Linked DNA regions of Danio rerio. The protein of the gene in region 1 interacts with the protein of each later gene in a biochemical or structural test. Links are inferred from orthologs where the notes say so. Each region holds a gene or a part of one and is shown on either strand. Other genes may lie near its edges.

Region 1 (4,337 bases):
ATTCCTTGATCCTAGTAAGGTTACTACACCGTTATAGCTGTAAATGCAGTGGAGCTAGTAATTGGCATCGTTTATTTTGGTTTCCTTTTTTTCAGTTTCGGCCAAGTTTGTTAGTTTCAGTGCATCCCTAAAGGTAATCTATCCCTCTCTCTATGTTTAGCTCAAATCTAGTGAACTGACCCAACAAGTCCACTGAAAATTAAAACGAGCCAAAGCGCCCCTTTGTTTTCTTTTTCCCCCGGTGGTATTGAATTACACTTGTAGTTTTTTTTTAATTTGGGTGTTTTCCTTTTGTCATCTAATGTAGGTTGCATCACCAATCTGCTATTATAATCTGCCTCATGATGTTCTAATCTATAGTAAATTATTATTATTATTATAAATACTGAAGGGTGGTATTTACTCATAACCATCTGAAATGATTGGCTTTAGAATCTGCTCAGATCTGAGCCTAAATACTCCCTCGCACCTTCTCAGAAAAGCCTAATTCCTGTATGTTCTGACTGTAAAACCTTCTCCAGTCCCTATCACAGATACTCAACGCCAAATGCATTGAACTACATCACACCCCTGCCGTCCCCTGGAGTCTCTCTGGGCCATAAAGTCTTGTCCACATCCACACCCAATGTCCACATGGTGAGCACAACCCAGCCAGTCGATGAAGCTGCTTATCAGGTAATCCGCCAGTGTCACCAGTGTCTTCATGAATACTCAGATAACATTCTGAATTTGCTGCTTTTCTTATGATTCTGAGTTATACTAATGCAAGTTTTTATTGACCGCAGAATCAAACATTTGACTTAAAAAATCTCACTATTCAGACTCGCACAATTGTTTGTGTCTCAGTTCAGATTGATGATATCTCTTATTTTTGCTCTGAGTTTTTCCCCCTCACAAATCCAAGTTAAGTTCTCATGTTTTTTTGTTCTTATTGTGTTTTTTTGTCATGCAATTTTAAGTTAAGCTTGTAAATCTCACATTTTTGCTCACAGCACTTTTGGAAGTATTAATGCCTTTTAGGTCTTTAATTGGGTCCCGAACTATCGACTTTTTTGTCACAAGCTAATATCTTGTTTTTATTTTATTTTTTTGTTATGTTTGTTGAAAATTGCTAGTTGATTTCTGATGTTTTCAGACTTTTTCTGACATGCAATTTCAAGTTGAGCTCATAATTCTCACTTTTTCCTCACAGTTTTGAGTTTCTAATTTAAATTTTTCGATTTTAATTTGAAATTCAAAAGAGTTTTGTTGGAAAAAGCTCAGAATTACAATTTATAAGTCAGCTTTGAGCCATAAAATAAACTTATTCAGTGAGCTTCATGCATTTCAGCCAGTTTTTCTGTGTGCGCTTGATTTAATTTCTCACGAATCCAAGTTGATTTTCCATGTTTTTGTTTCATTTGTGAGATTTTTTGGTCATGCAATTTTAAGTTAAGCTCGTAAATCTCACTTTTTCTCCTCACTGCTCTTTTCTATTCGAAAATGATCATCATTAATGCCTTTTTAAACTATTATTGCATCTCCTCTTGATCTTCTCGTGTGCTAAAATGATTCTCCCCTCTTCATTCTCAGGAAGCCTTAAGGCATGATGAATCAGGTAAAGGGTTTTTCATGATTTCCCCCAGATTTCGCTGTGAAGCTGAGGCTAAAATGTGTGCTTACCTGCCTCATTTATCTGTCACCTTAACTCACAGGAAGCCCTCAAAACTTAAGCCCGACCGAATGGTCCAAAACCCCAGCTCCAGCTCACAGGGAGAAAGCGCCTTCGAGTAACACTCAGGAAAAACGAATCGTAAGTGACACGAACATCCACTTTACTGTAAAACGTGATGAGAAATCACAACCAAACTTTAAAACAAACGTTATCAAGTGTTTCCACAGAGTTTAGATTAGTTTCTTGCTACTCATCAACACAGTAAAATTAACTAGTTTCTTTAAAAAGTGAGTGAACCTGTTGCAACTAAGTGGACTTAATTATGATAATCATGTACATATTTCATGCTCTTAATAATGTTAAGGCATCAGGCTCACTCAGTGTTTAAAGTAAAGTCAACTAATCGTGTTTACAGTGTAGTTTAAACATGATTTCATGATCCGGGCAGGTGTGTAGAACAAATTATTATTATTATTTTCATTGCATGACATTTCTATTAAAGCTTGTTTATGAATATAAAACACTGAAATGTAAGATGTAAGCGCTGCAGTTCTGACTTTTTTCCTCACAATTGTGAGTTTGTTCCTTTAATTTCCACTGCCGACTTGTTTTCTCTGAATACTGAGAAAGCACTCTGAATTTACTACTGAATAATCATTTGCACCTTAATTTTTTACAATTAAATCTCACTATTCAGGTTTGCTCTACAGAATTGTTTGCTTCTCACAATTTAGATGTTTTTTTAAAGTTAATATATTTAATTGTTTCCTATTTTAGATTTTTTTCTGGTGATATTTTCAGGCTTTTCTTCACTGAAGTGTGTGTTTATGTCATAGGATTTGAGGTTAAGCTCATCATTCTCACATTATTTCTCACAGCTTTAAGCTTTTTTTTTAAAAATAAAACAAAAGGTTTGGATTGTAAAATAAGTGCAATGTAATAAGTAAGTTTTAAGGGATAAAGTAGGTTTTCTTTAAGTAAGCAGTCATGCATTGAGTCAGTTTTGTGTGCGCTGTAGTTAAAGTTGTTGTTGTCTGTGTGTTAGCGTCCTCGAGAGAAGAGAGACTCCAGCTACTACTGGGAGATCGAGGCCACTGAGGTGCTTTTGCTCTCCCGGATCGGCTCAGGCTCTTTCGGCACAGTTTACAAAGGGAAATGGCACGGTAAGACTCCTTTCTCTTCAGCATTTGATGTATTTCTTGTAACACCGTTTGTTATTGTTAGTTGTTTTTTGAATTCCAGTAGTATTTAGGCAGATTAAAGAGGCAGCTGTGTCAGCCACAAGACATTCTCTGTACCATAGTGTCTGTGTTGCAGTTTATAAGTATGATACAACATTATAATTATACCTTTTTACTTTTATTTTTATACTTTTATAAAGTAATACTAATATTATGAGTGAATTCCCCATGATTGTGTAGCCTGCAGAACTCATCTGACAGAGCGTTTAAAGGCCTCTTCAGGTGTTTTGAGTTCATTAGCTGATCAGGGTGGCACCAGCTCTCATCAATACTCAACCTTTTCACAATATACTCATTTCCCGAGGTATTGGTTGTATGTTTATAATATTATGTTTATAATATTCCCCAAGTGACATTAAATGGTGTAAATAACCAGCTATAGTCAATATTATCTTGAGGAAATCTTTTTTATAGTCTATAGAATAAACCACTGTTATACAATGACTTGCTTAAGTTACTTAATTACCCTAGTGAAGTCTTTAAATGTCACTTTAAGCTGAATACTAGTGTCTTAAAGAATATTTAGTCTAATATTATGTGCTGTCATCATGACAAAGAGAAAATAAATCAGTTATTAAACTATTATGGTTAAAATTTTGACAAATCTCATCCCTGTTAAACAGCACTTTGGAAATATTTGTAAAATAATTACCGTTTCACAGGAGGCAAATCATTTAGTGTTCAACTATATATAAACAAACAACAAATAATCTGTATACTGCAGCTTTAAATGCAGCTATCATATTAATATGACCATATCATATACTAATAGATGCATTAGCTCAACTTGATTATTAGTTAAGAATTTGACCCTATGAAAACTGCAGTATGCACTCAGTGATCCTAAAATAGCCCTGCTCTGCAATAAATATTGTTGTATTGATGATTCAGATTAATTGCATATTCCCTGTCATGCATTTATAAATGTGCACGTGCAGTTGAAGTCAGAATTATTAACCCCCTGATGTTTTCACCAATATCTGTTTAACAGAGAAGTTTTCTCCAGCACATTTCTAATCATAATAGTGTTGATAACTCATCTCTAATATCTGATTTATGTTCTCTTTGTCATGATGACAGTAAATAATATTAGACTAGATATTCTTCAAGACACTAGTGTTCAGCTTAAAAGTGGCATTTAAAGGGTTAACAGAAACTAATATAGTTTAAAGGGGCTAATAATATTGACCTTAAAATGGTGTTTAAAAAATTAAAAACTGTTTTTATTCTATCCGAAATAAAACAAATAAGACTTTTTTTCAGAAGAACAAATATTATCAGACATACTGTGAACATTTCCTGAATCTGTTCAACATCATTTGGGAAATATTTAGAAAAGAAAAAGATTCAAAGGGGGCGAATAATTCTGACTTCAGCTGCATGTGCATGCATCTGCTGTACACTCTTATGCAGAGTGACCAGTGTTGTGCTGCTATGATATT
Region 2 (4,836 bases), on another chromosome or scaffold:
AATTCTTAAGGGTTGCTACTGTAATAATATTGACCCTACAATATTTTTAAAAATTAGAAATAAAATTCAGCCAAACTAAAAGAAAAACAACTTTCTCCAGAAGAAAATAATATTATAGTAAATACTGTGAAAATGTTCTTTCTCTGTTAAACAGCATTTTAGAAATGTTTGAAAAACAGTAAAAAATTCACAGGAAAGCACACACACACACACACACACACACACACACACACACACACACACACACACACACACACACACACACACACACACACACACACACACACACACACGTACATATACACACTACCCGTCAAAAGTTTGGGGTCAGTTTTTTTTCATGTTTTGTTTTTTAAAGAAAATGATTCTGTTCATCAAGGCGGCATTTATTAATTGTACAAATATTGTTAAATTATTAAATATTTAATATTTAAAAAAAATGAAATACCAATTAATATCAAAAACACTCCTAATCGACAACAACAACAATAATAATATGAATTAATAAATAAAGAAATACTAGAGCGTAACAATATACTTTTGAACAGTTATTTTATAGAGCAATAATATTTCACAAATGCACATATTTTACTGTACTTTTGGTGAAATATATATATATATATATATATATATATATATATATATATATATATATATATATATATATATATATATATATATATATATGTGTGTGTGTGTGTGTGTGTGTGTGTGTGTGTGTGTGTGTGTGTGTGTATATATATATAGGCCCTTAAGCAATTTTTTTGATAGTCCATCATTAAAACATCATTATACAATAACTTGCCTAATTACCCTAATCTGCCTAGTTAACTTAATTAACCCAGTTAATCCTTAATGTCATAATGTCACTTTAAGCTGTATAGAAGTGTCTTGTAAAATATATAGTCAAATATTATGTACTATCATCATGGCAAATATAAAATAAATCCATTATTAGAAATGAGTTATTAAAACTATTGTGTTTAGAAATGTGTTGAAGAAATCTTCTCTCCGTTAAACAGAAAGTGGGGGAAAAATAAACAGGGGGGCTAATAATTCTGACATCAACTGAATACAATGACATCATTGGCACCTCACCAATCCCAAGTAGCTAATTGGAGTTTTTCAAACTTGAAAAAAGAAGTTCCTAAAAAAATGTTTAAAAAAAAAATCCATTTAGTTTATGAATTTTTCATTTTTATTTACGTTTATAAAATTTTCAACATAAAAATATTATTGTTATAATTATTTGTTTGTTTGTTTGTTTTATATAACAGAAGATTTAACGTCTTGAAATAACGGCAAATAACACTGCAGGGTTAGAATTTTTCATTTAAAACTAATTCAATGAGTGCCCTATATAGGGTTAATGTAATTTAATATAATAATAATTATTTTTTTGTTTTAATTAATGACTCCCACAGATCTGACCATCGTTTCCACAAGACACAAAATGTAATTCAGTGTAACATTTTATTTACATTCATTTGATTTATCTTATGTGTTTAAGAATCACAATGTAGCTAAAAACTGTCGTTTAAACATTATTTGTTAACTTCCTTTAGACCAAATTTATTTATCAGATACACCTTTAATTTTTAAAAAAGTTCTGAATATGTATGTTTTATTTTCGTTAAAAAATACAAATTAATCCTGTTAGCCTGCACACCTTTTGGTATTCACACCTGATAATAATAAAATTTTTATTAAAGCACCGCTACCCTATCAACAAAGAACATGATTGACAAGTCTACAAACCAATGAGTTGGCGGCTAACAGAAGTGGCAACCAATCGCAGTGAAGAGTGGGCGGCTCCAATGCGTTTCCCTATTTAACTTTGAAACATAATATTAGCTTACTATTTTTAAGTCGACGGCTACAGACTAGTTCCCCGTCTGCAACTAAACGTTAATATCAGCAGGTTTGTCGAGAATTGCAGGTAAATGACACATCAATGTTATCAAATACATGAGTTGTCAACAAACAGACAGATTCTTTTACAGCTTACGTACATTTCTTTTAACATAATGTCTTAAAATGGCGGCTGTTTTGCATACGCAACCTAATAACACTAAATCAGTTAATAACTATCGCCTACACTCCTGTGTTTGTTGAAGGGTCTCTGGAAAATGTATTTATTTTACACGTCGTTGATTCTGTGCGTCCTCTGCGCATGTCACATGACCAAAGCCACCTGTGACGAGCCTTTGACAGCAGAAGATGCTGAATTCTGCAAGTAAGTTTCCATTGTAATGGATGCAATTCCTAAAAGAGTTATAATGCGTTTAAGAGGTTATGGTGGAGTATCCAGTGTTTCGTCTCTACCATCACACCCCTTGGAGTGGGAAATGTATGTTTTTGTCACAACCTTCCTCAATTAATTACAAAATCAGGTCTCTCTTTCAAAAAGGAAGCTGTAACAACCCCATATGTGAAGTTTTATTGGATGGAAGTATATGACCAGATTCAATGGGATAAAAAAGTTTGGTCTTTTTTTTTTCTGTAAAATATTAAAAAACTAAAAAAAAAAAATTAGAGAAATTTAATTTAAATTTAATTAAATTTTACCCAGCCAAGACGTTTTTGAAAAAAAAAAAGAAAAGAAAAAAAGTCAGATCTAATACATGCGTCTCTATCTGTAATATACCCAATGAGACTGCGGATTAAGCATGGGACGATAACTTTTTGCAAGGTATACTGCTGTTTGGAAAAGTCAAGGTTTTAAAACGTCAAAATTCTGCAATACTGTTCCTAAGGTATCACATAAGGTATGTGAAATATTTTTTTTATTTACTTTTTTTTTTTTAAGACAACAGTATCTCCAGCTAAAAAAGATATCCAAAGCTGCCGTTGTGTGTATGTATATATATATATATATATATATATATATATATATATATATATATATATATATATATATATATATATATATATGTATATGTGTATATGTATATATGTATATGTATATATGTATATATGTATATGTATATATGTATATATGTATATATATGTAAAAGTGTTTTGTTACACTGACATTAATAAAAAAATCTACAAGCATATTATATATATATATATATATATATATATATATATATATATATATATATATATATATATATATTACATATACATTTATATTACATATGATTATATATTATATAATAATAAATATCACATTACATATTATTATTATTATTATTATTGATATTATTATTATTATTATTATTATTATTTTCATATTACTTTGTCTTTATATATTTAGAATCATTATTATTTTGCTAAATGTATTTGCTTTATTAAAATAAGACATCATAAAATATAATCAAATCTCTTATTTTTATTCCTATAAATAAATATATCCTGTGAAATATTTATTAATAAAAAAAAATTCCCAACTAATAGCTACTGAAGCAAAGACATTTAAAGGCATTTCTGTTAATGTTTTTTCTTCTAGAGAAAAAACTTATTTGTTTTATTTTGGGTTGAATAAAACCATTTTTTAACTTTTAAAAACTATTTAAAAGTCATTATCATTGGCTCTCATGTGCATTTTTTTCCCGATTGTCTATAGAACAAACCACTGTTGCACAATGATTTGCCTAATCACCCTAACATTATTATTATTATTATTAAAACATCCATTATTTGCTTGTAAATAATAAAATATTATATATAATATATATAAAATATATAAAGCCTATATACCATATGGAGATGTCTTTCAGCTTTCCTCAAGGAGTTCTGGAATAGGGTTAATTTCCAAACCATATTTTCCGAGCTGAACTGATTTGAGAAGTCTGGCTTGTAGGCCGATGTGGGATGTGCAGGACTCCCTCAGAGCTCTGAGTCACGGATGCTCAAGCAGCAGGTCCCACTCAAAACACAAAAACCCACACAACAATTTGTACAACCCTAAAAACTTACTCACTATTTCAACTTTCAGTGCATTCATTGGTTATTCATGACCTTCCATTGGAAACCATTGATTGAATACTGATGCATGGAGTGATATAAACAGCTTGACTTATTCCCCGTACCTCTACTTTTACTCTTTAGGGGAGGGTTAAAGGTGATTTATCCAGATCTGGTTGTTGACAAATGCTTGATCGTCCCTCAGAGGATGAGAGAGAAGATCAGTATGGAGTGGGGATCACCTGAAGTACTCCTGCCACATGCTGAGGAGGTAAGACAAGTTTCCTTCATGACCTCTTGCTGACCTCGTACTCTTTGTTAGCAATTGGCGGTTTAGCCAGTGATTACCCTACTAAATAGGACATGTATGCAAGCTATGTTTTGATGCTGGTTTCAATGCTGGTCTTGCTGGTTCCGATGCTGGTCTTGATGCTGGTTTCGAAACTGATCTTGATGGTCTCTACTGGATTTGCTGTTCTTAAAATGCTGGTCTCGATGGTCTCAATGCTGGACTTGATTGTTTCAATGCTGGTATTGCTGGTTTTAATACTGGTCTTGATGGTTTCCATGCTGGACTTGATGGTCTCGATACAGAACTTTTGATTGTTTTGAGGCTGGTTTTGATGGTTTCGATGATGAACTTGCTGGTGTTGATGCTGGACTTGCTAGTCTTAATGCCGGCCTTTATGGTCAGGACCAGCATTGAGACCAACAAGTCCAGCATTGAGACCAACACTGAAAACCTGGTCTTGCTGGTCTCGATGCCGATTTTTCTGGTTTCAGTGCTGGTTTGATGCTCATCTCGGTGCTGGTCTTGCTGGTTTCGATGCTGGTCCCTCTGGTTTCAGTGCTGGTCTCATTGCTAGTCGGGACCAGCATTGAGATCAGTAAGTCCAGCATTGAGTTCAGTAAGACCAGCATTTA
Region 3 (4,802 bases), on another chromosome or scaffold:
GTGCTATTTTCATTTATAGCTCTTGATTTTTGCATTGATTTTTAATATCTCTTGTTTAAATACACTATGAACAGCAGCTACGCTAATTATTTTCTTTATTTTCTATTTCCACCTGGGGATACTCATCCCGAGGCCTCTAGAGATTGTGCAGCGCCATTGATGTGATCCAAGACCTGTGAAGAAATGATGCCAACCGCAGAGCACTTCTAGAGGTCTCCATAATCCTGGACCAGGCCGTATCCTGAGCAGATATCAGGGCCGGAGTGGGACTCATTTTCAGCCCTGGAGTTTCAAGCCAGACCAGCCCACCTCGACTGATTACATTAAAATAAGGTCATTTCCAATTCAGTTTCTAATGACACTATCACATCTTTTTTGAGAAAACAGCTGCTTTAGAAATTCAAATGTTCAACAACCCTTACAGTATTATGTCATAAAAACGAAAAATAATAATAATAATTTTTCAGGTGAGATTCGAACATGGGTCGGAAGTTTCGCAACGCAACGTGCTTTCCACTGGACCACAATGGCGCTATTCCAGTGGGAATAAAAAATAAAGATTACACTGTGAACGGCAAGACATAGTATTACTTTGATGGCTAAATCATTTTCTCCTTTTAGATTTCTGATCAAGTTTTGTCAGATTTAATGTAGTAAATCATCTGATTTTCATTGAGCAGGTGTATTATTCATTAATATTAATTATTCAAATTCTTATAATCACTAAGGTGCCACTGTTTGGGGTCGAATGATTAGTTACATCATCATTAACGTTAGTAAACCTGCAGGCTGCATTTTGCTCACGGAGCAGCAAGAAAAAAAATAAATAAAAAGAGCGGCGCTGCGGCAAAATAATGAAAAACAAAAAAAAAGAGTGAGGCTATGGTCAAATTAATAAATAAATAAATGAAAAAAGTGTGACTGCTGAGAGTGCAAGCAGCTAGGGACACTGGCCCTCACGGCCAAAAAACGGACCGACCCACCAGGAATTCTCTCGGTTCGCCAATCCGGGCCTGGCAGATATTGTGGTTGTCATGGAGGAGCTGAGAGCATAAGACTGATGCCTGAATCACCCCAGTGACAAACAAGTCCTCACATTTATCAAGTGGGCCAGCCTGAACACACGCCGGTGACCTACTCACACTTGCATCTTCTCCACGATGGACATCCAGCGTTCTCCAGCCTCCGGCGCCTAGACTGCTTTTCTGCAGTTTGGTCAGAGGAGAAATGGTCGTGCCCAACAGAGCCGGTTTCTCTCCAGGTTTTTTCCTTCACTTCAATCACGTCAATTGGTGAAGATTGTTCCTTCGCTGTTGCCACTGGCTTGCTTGGTTTGGGAATTGTGGAGCTGCGCATCGATGGATTTGCTCTTCAGTGTTTGAACTCTCAGTATTGAATATTAAACCACACTGAACTAATCTAAACTGAACTCCAACTCTGAAAACTGGACTGACAGTTTACACTATCACTATATCACTATAATCTTCTATGTTAAGCTGCTTTAACACAATCTGCATTGTAAAAGCGCTACAGAAATCAAGATATTTTTCAATTAGCTACAGAACAAACCATCATTATACAATGACTTGCCTAGTTAACATAATTAAGCCTTTAAATGCTGAATACAAGTATCTTGCAAAAACTTGCACGACCCTCAATTGGTACTAATGGACCCAAAGTGTGCTAAAAAAATCTCCCCCACACCAATACACCACCACCACCAGCTTAAACCGCTGACACAAGGAAGGATGGATTCATGCTTTTATGCTGTTGACGTCAAATTCTGACCCGAGCATCTGAATGTGTCAGCAGAAATGGAGACTCATCAGAGCAGGCAACGTTTCTCCAATCTTCTATTGTCCAGTTTTGGTGAGTCTGTGTGAATTGTAGCCTCAGTTTCCTGTTCTTAGCTGACAGGAGCGGCACCCGGTGTGCTCTTCTGCTGCTGTAGCCCATCCGCCTCAAGGTTGGACGTGTTGTGTGTTCAGAGATGCTCTTCTGCAGACCTTGGTTGTAACGAGTGCTTATTTGAGTTTCTGTTGCCTTTCTATCAGCTGGAACCAGTCTGGCCATTCTCCTCTGACCTCTGGCATCAACAAGGCATTTGTGCTCACAGAACTGCCGCTCACTGGATATTTCCACTTTGTCGGAGAATTCTCTGTAAACCCTAGAAATGGTTGTGCGTGAAAATCCCAGTAGATCAGCAGTTTCTGAAATACTTAGACCAGCATGTCTGTTATCAACATCCATGCCACGTTCAAAGTCACTCAAATCCCCTTACTTCCTCATTCTGATGCTCGGTTTGACCTGCAGCAGATCGTCTTGACCATGTCTACATGCCTAAATGCATTAAGCTCCTGTCGGTGAGTGTATACTCTACATTTTTCTGATTTTGATTGAAATGTATTAACGTGCACCTTTTGTAGAGCTGCTGTTCATATAGTAGAAATGATTAAAATGAATTGTTTAATGTACATCACACACACACACACACACATCTGGACAACAGTAACACACATCTGGACACTGACAGTTGTGTGAAATCATTCATGACTCTTTATGCAGCTCTGTGAACTTAAAACACACACAATCCAACAGTTAATCACTAAAATTAAGCACTACCAACGAGTAAATGTAATTTCACGTCGATCAGAAATTAAACTCCTGTGCCTGACACATAAGCACATTCACACACACTTTACAAGCTAACAACCAGGTCAGCGCTGAGAATAAACACGCTTAGAGATTAAATCAGATGGTTTGAATATGAAATATGGATTATTTGAGGCGTACCGGGTTTGACTGCTGGACTGACGCCTGTCGTTAGCAAACCGGTAGCGACACTGGTGCTTTGATGATCACTTTTGGATCCCTGATAGCGAATGAAACGCGGCCAAACTCATATTCCGACTCGATCATGACATTAAGATGACAAATGTCCGACGTTTTCATCGGCGATCCTCAAAAACACGACATTTTACCCGCGGGTGTGAGACGCTAGCATCATGTTTCGGTTGTTTTGACTCTGCCGTCACTGTGACGTCGCCGGAGGTGACGATCGGAAGCTCGTTGCCAACGTAATAACGCCACCTGTCGGCGACGTGCAGGAGTTTAATTTCATAATAATAATAATTAGATAAAATATATAAATAAATATGAAAACAGTTATAATAATAATGCTTGATTATTATCATTATTTATTCTACATTTTACACGTTTTTTTCCGGTTACACATTTTAAAAAGTGTTCTAGAAAAGCATGTAATAAAAATATAAATAACTGACTTAATTTCTACTTCAGCATATAATTTTGAGCTTTCTAATGACTTTTAATTCTTATGACTTTAATACCTTATTTATAATTTTGACCTTTAAGTAACAGAGTAAGCCATAATTGCTCATTTTTTATTAAGAATTACAAAAAAAGTCTTAATTTCTTCTTTAAATATTTTTTTTCATGTAGTTATAGAATTTAGCTATATAATTTAATATAAAAATACATCAAATGTCTTTAATTCTCCTGTAAAAATGTGCATTTTGTATTTAATTTTTGTTTAGAGACATTTTAGAGTCACCCTAAAAAGCTGCATCATATTTTAGGTGCAAAACAATGAGTTTGCTAAAATGATGTGAATAATTTAATAATAAACATACTCAAATTCAGATTGCAATATAATTTCTTGCTGAACACCAAACACATTCAGAAAAATAATATATTAACATTAAAGAACAGTAAAAGAGTCACCAAACACCATTTCAGTTCATAAACCATATAATGCACTTAAATGAGGACAACATGAACAGTCGACAAGTAAGACAAGTAGAAAAAATACATGAATCAAAATGTGAATAATTATGATGATAATATATAATTCATTAGTGTTATCATCATTTTTACTCTACATTTTAGTTTTTTTGTGATTATTAATTTTAAAACTTTAAAAATGTTCAAGATAATGTGCTTTCTTATCACTTCTAATTTTGATTTAGGTATAACATTTCTTTTTTTTAATACCCTATTTATAATTTTGACCTTTAAATAACTCAGAGTAAGCCATAATTGCTCATTTTAATTAACATTTATGAAGAATGCCGTCATTTCTTCTTTAAATTTTTTTTTCATGTAATTACATAATTTAGTCATAGACTTTATTATAAAAATAAGTCAAATGTCTCTAATTCTTCTGTAAAAATGTGAATTTTGTATTCAGTTTTTGTTTAGAGATATTTTAAAGTCCCCCCAAAATAGCTGCATCATATTTTAGGTGCAAAACAATGAGTTTGCTGAAAATGATGTGAATAATAATAAATGTACTCAAATTCATGTTGTAATGTTATTTCCTGCTGAACACCAAACACATTCAGATAAATAATATATTAACATTAAGAAACAGTAAAAGAGCCCTCATTCACCAAACACCATTTCAGTTCATAAACCATATAATGCACTTTAATGAGGACAACATGAACAGTCGACAAGTAGAAAAGTATATGTAAACAAATGTGAATAATTATAATACATAATTCATTAGTTTTATCATTAATTACTCTACATTTGCAGTTTCTTTGTGATGATTAATTTAATAACTAAAAATGTTCAAGATATTGTGCAATGATTTAATTTCTACTTAAGCTAATCGTACTTTTGAGTTTTTGTATGATTTTAAGTATGACATTTCTATTTTTTACCTTTTAATTTGACCTTTAAATAACTCATAAGACTTAATTGCTCATTTTTAAATTAATAATTACAAAAAATGCCATAATTTCTTCCTTTAACATTATTTTTTTTATGTAACTACA
Region 4 (4,855 bases), on another chromosome or scaffold:
AGCCCTTTCCTTCACTGTCTTAGCGGAGAGAGCGGTATATCTTTAATTTTTTTGTATTATCTGGGTTTTGTTTTTGAAATCTGCAAATAGGTGTTCTAATATGTTGATGAATGACTCCTTTATGTAGTCACCATCTGTGAACGGTTTTCCATGCTTTATTATCTCCCGGTTTGTTTACAACAGCCACCTGCCCGGCATCTTGCCCTGCTGATAGAAACCTGTGTCGCAGGCTATGACGCAAATCTTCGTTGACAGAAATGTTGAAATTAAATATTAATTCTACACACTTTTACAGCATTTGAAAACGTTAAAAATGTTTGTCCTCCAATAGAAATCATATTAAAACAAAAATATATACTAACCTTCCCCATCTTTTTGAACACTTTTGAAAAAACTTAAGGGAGCCACAAGGGCATCGCTAAAGAGCCGCATGTGGCTCTAGAGCCGCGGGTTGCTGACCCCTGATTTAGTTGAATGAAAGTCAGGTTTCAAACATGCAACGCTCCTCTATGACTCACCCCACTGACAAAGCTCCAGAATTTCTTTCCCCATACATGAGCTCATTTGTCCTATTTTGTCTGCTATGCCATTATAAATTGTGAAATAACCCATCTAAGAAAGCTTTAAGACCAAGCAAAATCTGACGCAAGTGAAGCCATCTTTCACTACTGACCTACTGTACTGTTGTTAAATAGAGAAAATATTTACAAGTAACTTTTAATCTAAATCCTGGACCTTATTTTTGAAAGAGCAGAAAAATAAAAAGACCAATAAAAAGGTGTTAAGCACCAAAAGTTCATTTTGAAGTCCCTGTGCATTTACTGTAGAAACACACAAACAACATAGCAGCGGGCAGAGAACTCATAGAGAAATGTTGTGCTTTATGAAATGAACAATAAAATAAAAATAAAAATAAAACGGCCACACAAGCACACCTGCTAAAAAAAAACAAAAAACAGCATGATTTAGAGTTCTCAGTCACACACACAGACACACAGACACACACAGACACACACACACACAGACACACACACAGACAGACACACAGACAGACAGACACACAGACAGACAGACACACACACACACACACACACAGACACACAGACACACAGACACACAGACACACAGACACACAGACACACAGACACACACACAGACACACACACAGACACACACAGACACACACACAGACACACACAGACACACACACACACACACACACACACACACACACACACACACGGGCTACATAAAGTGCAATTCGATAAATGTAATTTGATGAATGAAAAGTAAAATAAAAATTGACAAGCAAAATCTAGATGTTCCTCGACTTGGACAAAAAAATTTCCATGACTTTAAATATCTGAAATAAACATTTTAAAAATGAACTATTAAGATCCTTTTTTGCAGGATGAAAAATAAATATTGCTTTATAACCATTTTGAAACTGCCCCTTTTAGGCTTTGGTCCAAATTACGCCGCTTCTTTGTGACTGCCGCTTGAAATGTAAACTAGCTTTTGCTCTGTGCAAAGGCAGGTGGAGCTATAAATGTCAATGCGTCAGCATAGTGGCAGATTCATTAACAGTACTTAAGGAGATCTCTGTGAAAACTGAAAATGTGAAAGAAACGTCTCAAAAGAAGGCAGTCTATGGAGACTACAGTGTTCATTTGCGCATCTAAAACTTCACATTAATAGTGCCTTATAGTCAGTGTCATTATCTTCAGCAGGTGAACACTCTAAAGCCGCCTTTCCACTGCACATCACATTTGAACACGACTGTCGGAATACTCCCCCTTGTGGCAGTCGCACAGAACTTTCAGTTTTGTCGTGCACCATGGGAGAGAAGATGTTCTCACAGCGTCAGTAATAAAAGAGTGCAAAAGCAAGAGCCTTTACTCTCTGGGTGTCCACCATGGTTGAATGAATGAATCAACACTAGAAACTCAGACCGCTAAAAATGTTGGCGGGAATGTGGAAACAAACAAAAAAAAGTATTTTTATGACTCATTTATGAACAAAACATTTTTTAATATAGACTTTTTTCTGATTTAAGAAAAAAAAAAATCCTATTTCTCATCTCGCACGCACAGACCTGCCTGGACAACACTGAACTACATCACATGCGGTCGGTCGTATACGGTGTAGTCGCAGGAGTTCAAATATTTCCAACAGCAGCTCTGCAGCTCATATCGGATCCAAATTTTCCACATACGGAGAGAATCTGAACTCTACGCAGCTCCCGGACTACTCTCCATTGGAAATTCAACGTCTTCCAGTCTTTCGCTTGTCGTGTGCAGTGGAAGGGCGACTTAATGGCGAATGGCTGCTTCTCACTCAGGGCTGTTTATGCTAATGAGGCAGAGATCGTCACTAATGGACGGGCTTTCCCCCTCTGATGACAGGTACAATGTCAATCAAGGTGTTCATGCAGACTGTTTATCAAGTCTGATTATAATACTATTAATAAAACTATTGGATAATAATATAATATAATAAATAACTATAATAAAACTATTGTTTTACCATTACAAGCTGGTTATATTCACACACGGTTGCCACACAACTGCATTTAAACCACTTAGAAAACTGATATATGCACAAATGACCCCCTTTAAAACTCATGATATTCACAAAAATTCCAAGACCCATGGGAACTCTAAATATAGCAATATAAAGTTGCAATATTGTGCATTCCTATGACCTATCGACAGCCTCAATGTGGATAAAATTAACAACAAATTTAATTTGTTGCGTGTAAGCCCTTTAAATTGACCTTATTAGAATACTTATAGGAATTAAATGCTTTAACCATTGCTGCCATTGTTTTACAAAACACATCAGTAGTTATTACAACTCACCATTGTACAGAGCAGAGTTAACAACACCTCCTCCAATGGCCAAGGCCAATCCCAGCTTCCCAATGGACTCAAAGAGCTTCGCCATGACAACAAAGTGACAGTCCTGCGGGGAAAACACATTCATCTTCAGTATCTCATCATGGGTGATCTCTTGTGCATATAGAGCCCTTGGGTAATCAAACCAATGCTAGCCGGTTTAGCCTTGACTCTGACAGTGACACTGACATCAATGTAACGTGCTAATCTGATCTCACTCTAACCGGTCACTGGAAAAATCACAAGTAAAACTGCACAATATACACATATATACACCACTTAAAAACAATTGCTATTACAATAACACATGTGACACAGATTAACAGGCATTAATACAATCCGCAGTAGTGAACTTCACTCATTTATTAGCCTGCTACACGCTAATGATGCAACTGTCATGCAATAACGCCAACAAACACCCACACGTCGTGTTTATTTCACTTTCATACTGTCGCGTTATAATTACCGATGCTTTGTGAGTAAAACAAAAGCTTTAAGTTCGCATTTAAATGTAAGTCTCCTAAAACGTGAGCACTTACCCGCTGCGCTGAATGATCACAGTGACCTCCACCGGAGCCTGCGCAAGAAACACATGAGCAGGTGGAGCTTGCGCATGCGCAGAACAGTGTCAACATGAGTTTCTCCGATTGGATAGAGAGACACAAACCGAACGCCCTCTTGAGTAAGGAGGATTATTATTGGCGTACATCTCACGTTGCTTTAGAACGAGGTGGGTTCACTGCAATGCAATATGTGGGCGTTCCTTATTTCATTTTGTAATGACTTTAATTTATGTACTGTTATTGATACTTAAATGTCTTATGCTCAAGTTTATATCATGTTCTTTATTCATTTTTTCTTCTGTCTTTCTCTCTCTTATATTTTTTTATTGACAATGTAATTCATATTGCGTATTGTAAACAAATATTGCTACAAACTTGTCATGTGGGCGTTCTTTCGACTGCTTAAAGCTATAGTCCAACCACGTTCAAATACTGAAAATATGTTTTCAACATCGTTTAACACCTGTAACCATTGACTTCCATAGGAAAAACCAATAGTATGGAAGTCAATGGTTACCAGTTTCCAACATTTTTCAAAATAACTTATTTTGTGTTCAAAGAACGAAACACATTCATTTATTTTCTTTAGCTTAGTCCCTTTAAGGGTTGCCACAACAGAATGAACCGCCAACTTATCCAGCATATGTTTTACACAGTGGATGCCCTTCCAGCTGCAATCCATCACTGGGAAACACCCATACATACTCATTCACCTATACCACATGTTTTTGGGAGAAACTGGACCACCAAGGAGAAACCCACAACAACACGGGGAGAACATGCAAACTCCACACAGAAACGCCAACTGACCCAGCCAAGGCTCGAACCAGCAACCTTCTTGCTGTGAGGCAAATGTGCTACCCACTGCGCCACCGTGCAGTGAGCTTTTATTATTATTTTTATTTCATTGCTGTTGAAAGTGAGAGTGGTATAAAATTGCTACATTTTTCTACTGCAATTCCTGTACAGAGGCTTTACTACTAGTGTACCACATGCTGTATGAAAACAGAAAAGGACGTTTATTTATATAGCACTAATACCCCAAGATCATCAAGCATATCAAGACTCTTTGGATTCATCTTCAATGCCTCCTCCTCCATATTACCCCAGACATGCTCAATAATGTTCATCTCTGGTGGCTGGGCTGGCCATTCCAGGAGCACCTTGACCTTCTTTGCTTTCAGGATCTTTGATGTGGAGGCTGAAGTATGAGAAGGAGCGCTATCCTGTTGAACAATTTGCCTTCTCCTGTGGTTGGTAATGTAACGAGCAGCACAAATGTCTTGATACCTCAGGTTGTTGATGTTGCCATCCATCTCTTGCATGCCTCCACACTGAATGTAACCAAACCATGATTTTTTCTTAACCAAACTTGACTGATTTCTGTGAGAATCG
Region 5 (3,020 bases), on another chromosome or scaffold:
GTACTGTAAAACAATTAATTGCAAACTTAAATCTAATTTGATTATTTGGTTTGGAATTGGTTGCTTTACATTTTTTGTGCGTTTAAATTAAACATTTTGCAAGATCTTAAAAATTTTCAACTTTTTGTTAATTTTCATTGGATTCAGCAATTGTGGAATTGTGAAAAACTGGAGGGTCTGATAGATTTATTGTAGGAAAAAAAGTAGCAATTTAAATGAGCATCTCCTCAGGATGGCCACAGGCCAAAATAACAAACTAAAGAATATTAATTCATTTTGAGAAAAATGTTGAAATAAAACATTGAGAATAAACTTAAAATATGTACATTTTAAATTTTGAAAAGAATGTTTCAAGAAAATGTTAAGAATAAACTCAGAGAATTCAGAGAAAAAATGTTGTTAAAATGTCTGTAAAGTAAATTAACTAAATAACTTGCGAATCTATAGGAAGCTTACCTTCCTCACTGAACAAAGTCAAAAGTAATGTAAATAAATAGGCAGGCCACCCCTACAAGCTCAAACTCTCAAAAAAGTTCCAAGCATACTTGGACATTTGGACAATATTAATGTTTGGTCATCGGCCGGAGTAGGGAAATCACTCCACTCCAAGCAACAGTCACAACAAAAATGAGCTCCTCGAACTCTGCCGGAAGTTTCATTTTATAGCTCTCTGTGACCAGTAGCCAATCAGAGCCTGGGCCACATTAACATGGGAGCCTATGGGATAACAAAAAACATCACAAGGCGGCAGGACAAAGGAAAAGGCACAATACAGTTCGCAACAAAAATAAATAAACTTTTGTCGTAACATTGTCTTTTATTATCCAGTTTTTTCAATGGAGTCTTTTCCATTATTGAGATACTGTATTTTATAGTGCAGCTATGATTACACAAATCTCGTTTTTTTTAACTGAAGACAGTCTAAGTGCATCAAAGCAAAGTGACAATGAATGAAAGTGTAGACTGAAGTTACTTGTTAAATTAAATTCCATTTCAACCAAAGCAAAATAAGACCTGAAATTCATTTAAAGCAAAAATCCAAACAAAAACAGTTCATTAATTGTTTTTTAAAGGGATTAGTGTTATCACGATACTGGAGTTCGGTACCAATCAATACTGAAATTTGAAAAGTCTATTTTCCAACTAAAATTTGAGTGCATTCTTAAACAGCGCAGATTTTCCATTGCATTCACATGCTCAACAGAAATGACTGTGATTGGCCATAAAGGTCATCAGTTAAGCAAACTCACCGCTGTTTACTGAGAGTGGCCACGGATACAGGGACACTGGAGTGTTTCAAAGCGCAAAGATTAGCTGGTTTTTCTATAAGCTGACATACGAGCGATCTGCTGATGAATCGTTGCTTTAAAATTCTCCAGTGTCCCTGTATTTGTGGTTACACGCAGAAACCACTGGTGAGTTCGTTGAACTGATGACCTTCAAGCCCAATCACAGTGTTTTCTGTTGAGCATGTGAACACAATGGCAAATCAGCGCTGTTTAAGATCATGCTCAATAGCGCGCAAATGTTAGCGGGAAATTTTCAAATTTCAGTATTGATTGGTGCCACATTCCAGTATCGAGACAACCCTAAAAGAGAAAGTTCACTCAAAAATGAAAATGTACACACTCTACGATGTTTCAAAATCTTCATTTCTGGCTTCTGTTGAACACAGAAGAAGATATTTTGAAGAATGCTGGAAACTGATAAACACTGACATCCATAGCAGGAAAAAACAAATACTATGGAAGTCAATGTTTTCCGACTTTCTTCAAAATAACTTCTTTTGTATTCACCAGAATAAAGAAAACAAAACTCATTTGGGAAAAAGTAAAGAATAAACGACAGAATCAGCTGTTTTGAGTGAACTATCCCTTTAAACTACTGAAACTGTATTGAGTTGAGCTCTTCAGACTAAAGCAGTATTTCCTAACCACGTTCCTGGAGGACCACCAGCTCTGCACATTTTCCTGTCTCCTTAAGCAAACACCTGATTCAGATCATCAGCTCATTAGCAGAGACTGAAAGACCTGTGATGGGTTTGATGAACAAAGGAGACATCCAAACATGCAGTGTTGGTGGTTCTCCAGGAGCGTGGTTGAGAATCACTGGACTAAAGGATAACATACATTGTAATTAACAGTCTTTATTTGCCAGCCAGCTGTTCGTAAAGTTTGGGCACATAGTTGTCCCACTCGGCCTGGAAGCAGGAGCCTGCGAGCGGAGCCCCGAGGCTGTATTTCTTGCGGAAGCTCTGGATCTTGAATTTTCCTCGGTTGTCTCCAGAGCGGTTGGTGAGGACTCGTTCAGTGCAGCTGATGTTCCCCGACTGCTCATAAACGAGCCACACGTAACGATGGAGACCTGCAGGAAACCAGATAGTTCAGATGTAACTGCTTTGTATTTGCTGATGGATCTATTTCGCCATTAGGACAATTATGATGTTATCGTCATCTTAAAGTACAGATGAAATCAAAACTAATATTGATTTTGTTAGTTTACAGTAGTTTTGCTAGTTTTGTGGTGAACTAGTCATCTGTGCATGCCGTTAAGAAAAACAAAATGTTTGCTACTTTAATCTGCCATTGAAATATGAAAATGCACTTCCTGTTTGTTTACGATAAAATTGTCAGACTACGCCTGTGTGAGGTAATGGGCATGGCTAACATACTTAACCACGCCCCTCCAACTGTCAATTTTGACAACAAACAGAAATGGTGATGTGGAGGAGTCTGATAGGTTGTAAAAAAGAGCATAGAATGACCAAGAAGCGACAATCTAGTGCATTTTGGGAAACAGTCACTAGATGGCGCGGTGGCCATTTTAGAATGAAAACTCTAATCCGCTTGTTAAGTGGTGACGTGTTTGTGACGTATGTAATACTGTTTCCAGGTCCAAGCCGCCACTCATTTGAGTGGAGAAATCATTCGTTTATGATCACGTTTTATTCCTATCACACATTAAAGTTAATTTTATATAGAATCGTAGTGTACACAACAATCTCTGGGCTTGCTGCAGAA

What was found.
Region 2: the proteins of raf1b (region 1) and pebp4 form a complex in vitro, tested with the Homo sapiens proteins (2 studies listed by BioGRID). The link is inferred for Danio rerio from reciprocal best matches to the Homo sapiens genes RAF1 and PEBP4.
Region 3: of the proteins of raf1b (region 1) and stub1, one has a biochemical effect on the other in vitro, tested with the Homo sapiens proteins (4 studies listed by BioGRID, with this or other methods). The link is inferred for Danio rerio from reciprocal best matches to the Homo sapiens genes RAF1 and STUB1.
Region 4: the proteins of raf1b (region 1) and phb form a complex in vitro, tested with the Homo sapiens proteins (2 studies listed by BioGRID). The link is inferred for Danio rerio from reciprocal best matches to the Homo sapiens genes RAF1 and PHB1.
Region 5: the proteins of raf1b (region 1) and pebp1 form a complex in vitro, tested with the Homo sapiens proteins (3 studies listed by BioGRID and IntAct, with this or other methods). The link is inferred for Danio rerio from reciprocal best matches to the Homo sapiens genes RAF1 and PEBP1.

Annotation. Positions count from the first base shown.
Region 1 is NC_133186.1:565,083-569,419, forward strand, and holds part of raf1b (RAF proto-oncogene serine/threonine-protein kinase), read left to right. Parts: intron 1-521; coding exon 522-675; intron 676-1,572; coding exon 1,573-1,597; intron 1,598-1,694; coding exon 1,695-1,792; intron 1,793-2,699; coding exon 2,700-2,817; intron 2,818-4,337. UniProt on the Homo sapiens protein: Serine/threonine-protein kinase that acts as a regulatory link between the membrane-associated Ras GTPases and the MAPK/ERK cascade, and this critical regulatory link functions as a switch determining cell fate decisions including proliferation, differentiation, apoptosis, survival and oncogenic transformation.
Region 2 is NC_133183.1:60,322,213-60,327,048, forward strand, and holds the start of pebp4 (phosphatidylethanolamine-binding protein 4), read left to right. Parts: upstream 1-1,857; 5' UTR 1,858-1,939; intron 1,940-2,117; 5' UTR 2,118-2,129; coding exon 2,130-2,236; intron 2,237-4,056; coding exon 4,057-4,183; intron 4,184-4,836. UniProt on the Homo sapiens protein: Promotes AKT phosphorylation, suggesting a possible role in the PI3K-AKT signaling pathway.
Region 3 is NC_133199.1:43,371,551-43,376,352, reverse strand, and holds the start of stub1 (E3 ubiquitin-protein ligase CHIP), read right to left. Parts: upstream 3,040-4,802; 5' UTR 2,794-3,039; intron 1-2,793. UniProt on the Homo sapiens protein: E3 ubiquitin-protein ligase which targets misfolded chaperone substrates towards proteasomal degradation.
Region 4 is NC_133178.1:14,400,937-14,405,791, reverse strand, and holds the start of phb (prohibitin 1), read right to left. Parts: upstream 3,463-4,855; 5' UTR 3,437-3,462; intron 2,965-3,436; 5' UTR 2,947-2,964; coding exon 2,862-2,946; intron 1-2,861.
Region 5 is NC_133180.1:16,092,107-16,095,126, reverse strand, and holds the end of pebp1 (phosphatidylethanolamine-binding protein 1), read right to left. Parts: intron 2,365-3,020; coding exon 2,147-2,364; 3' UTR 798-2,146; downstream 1-797.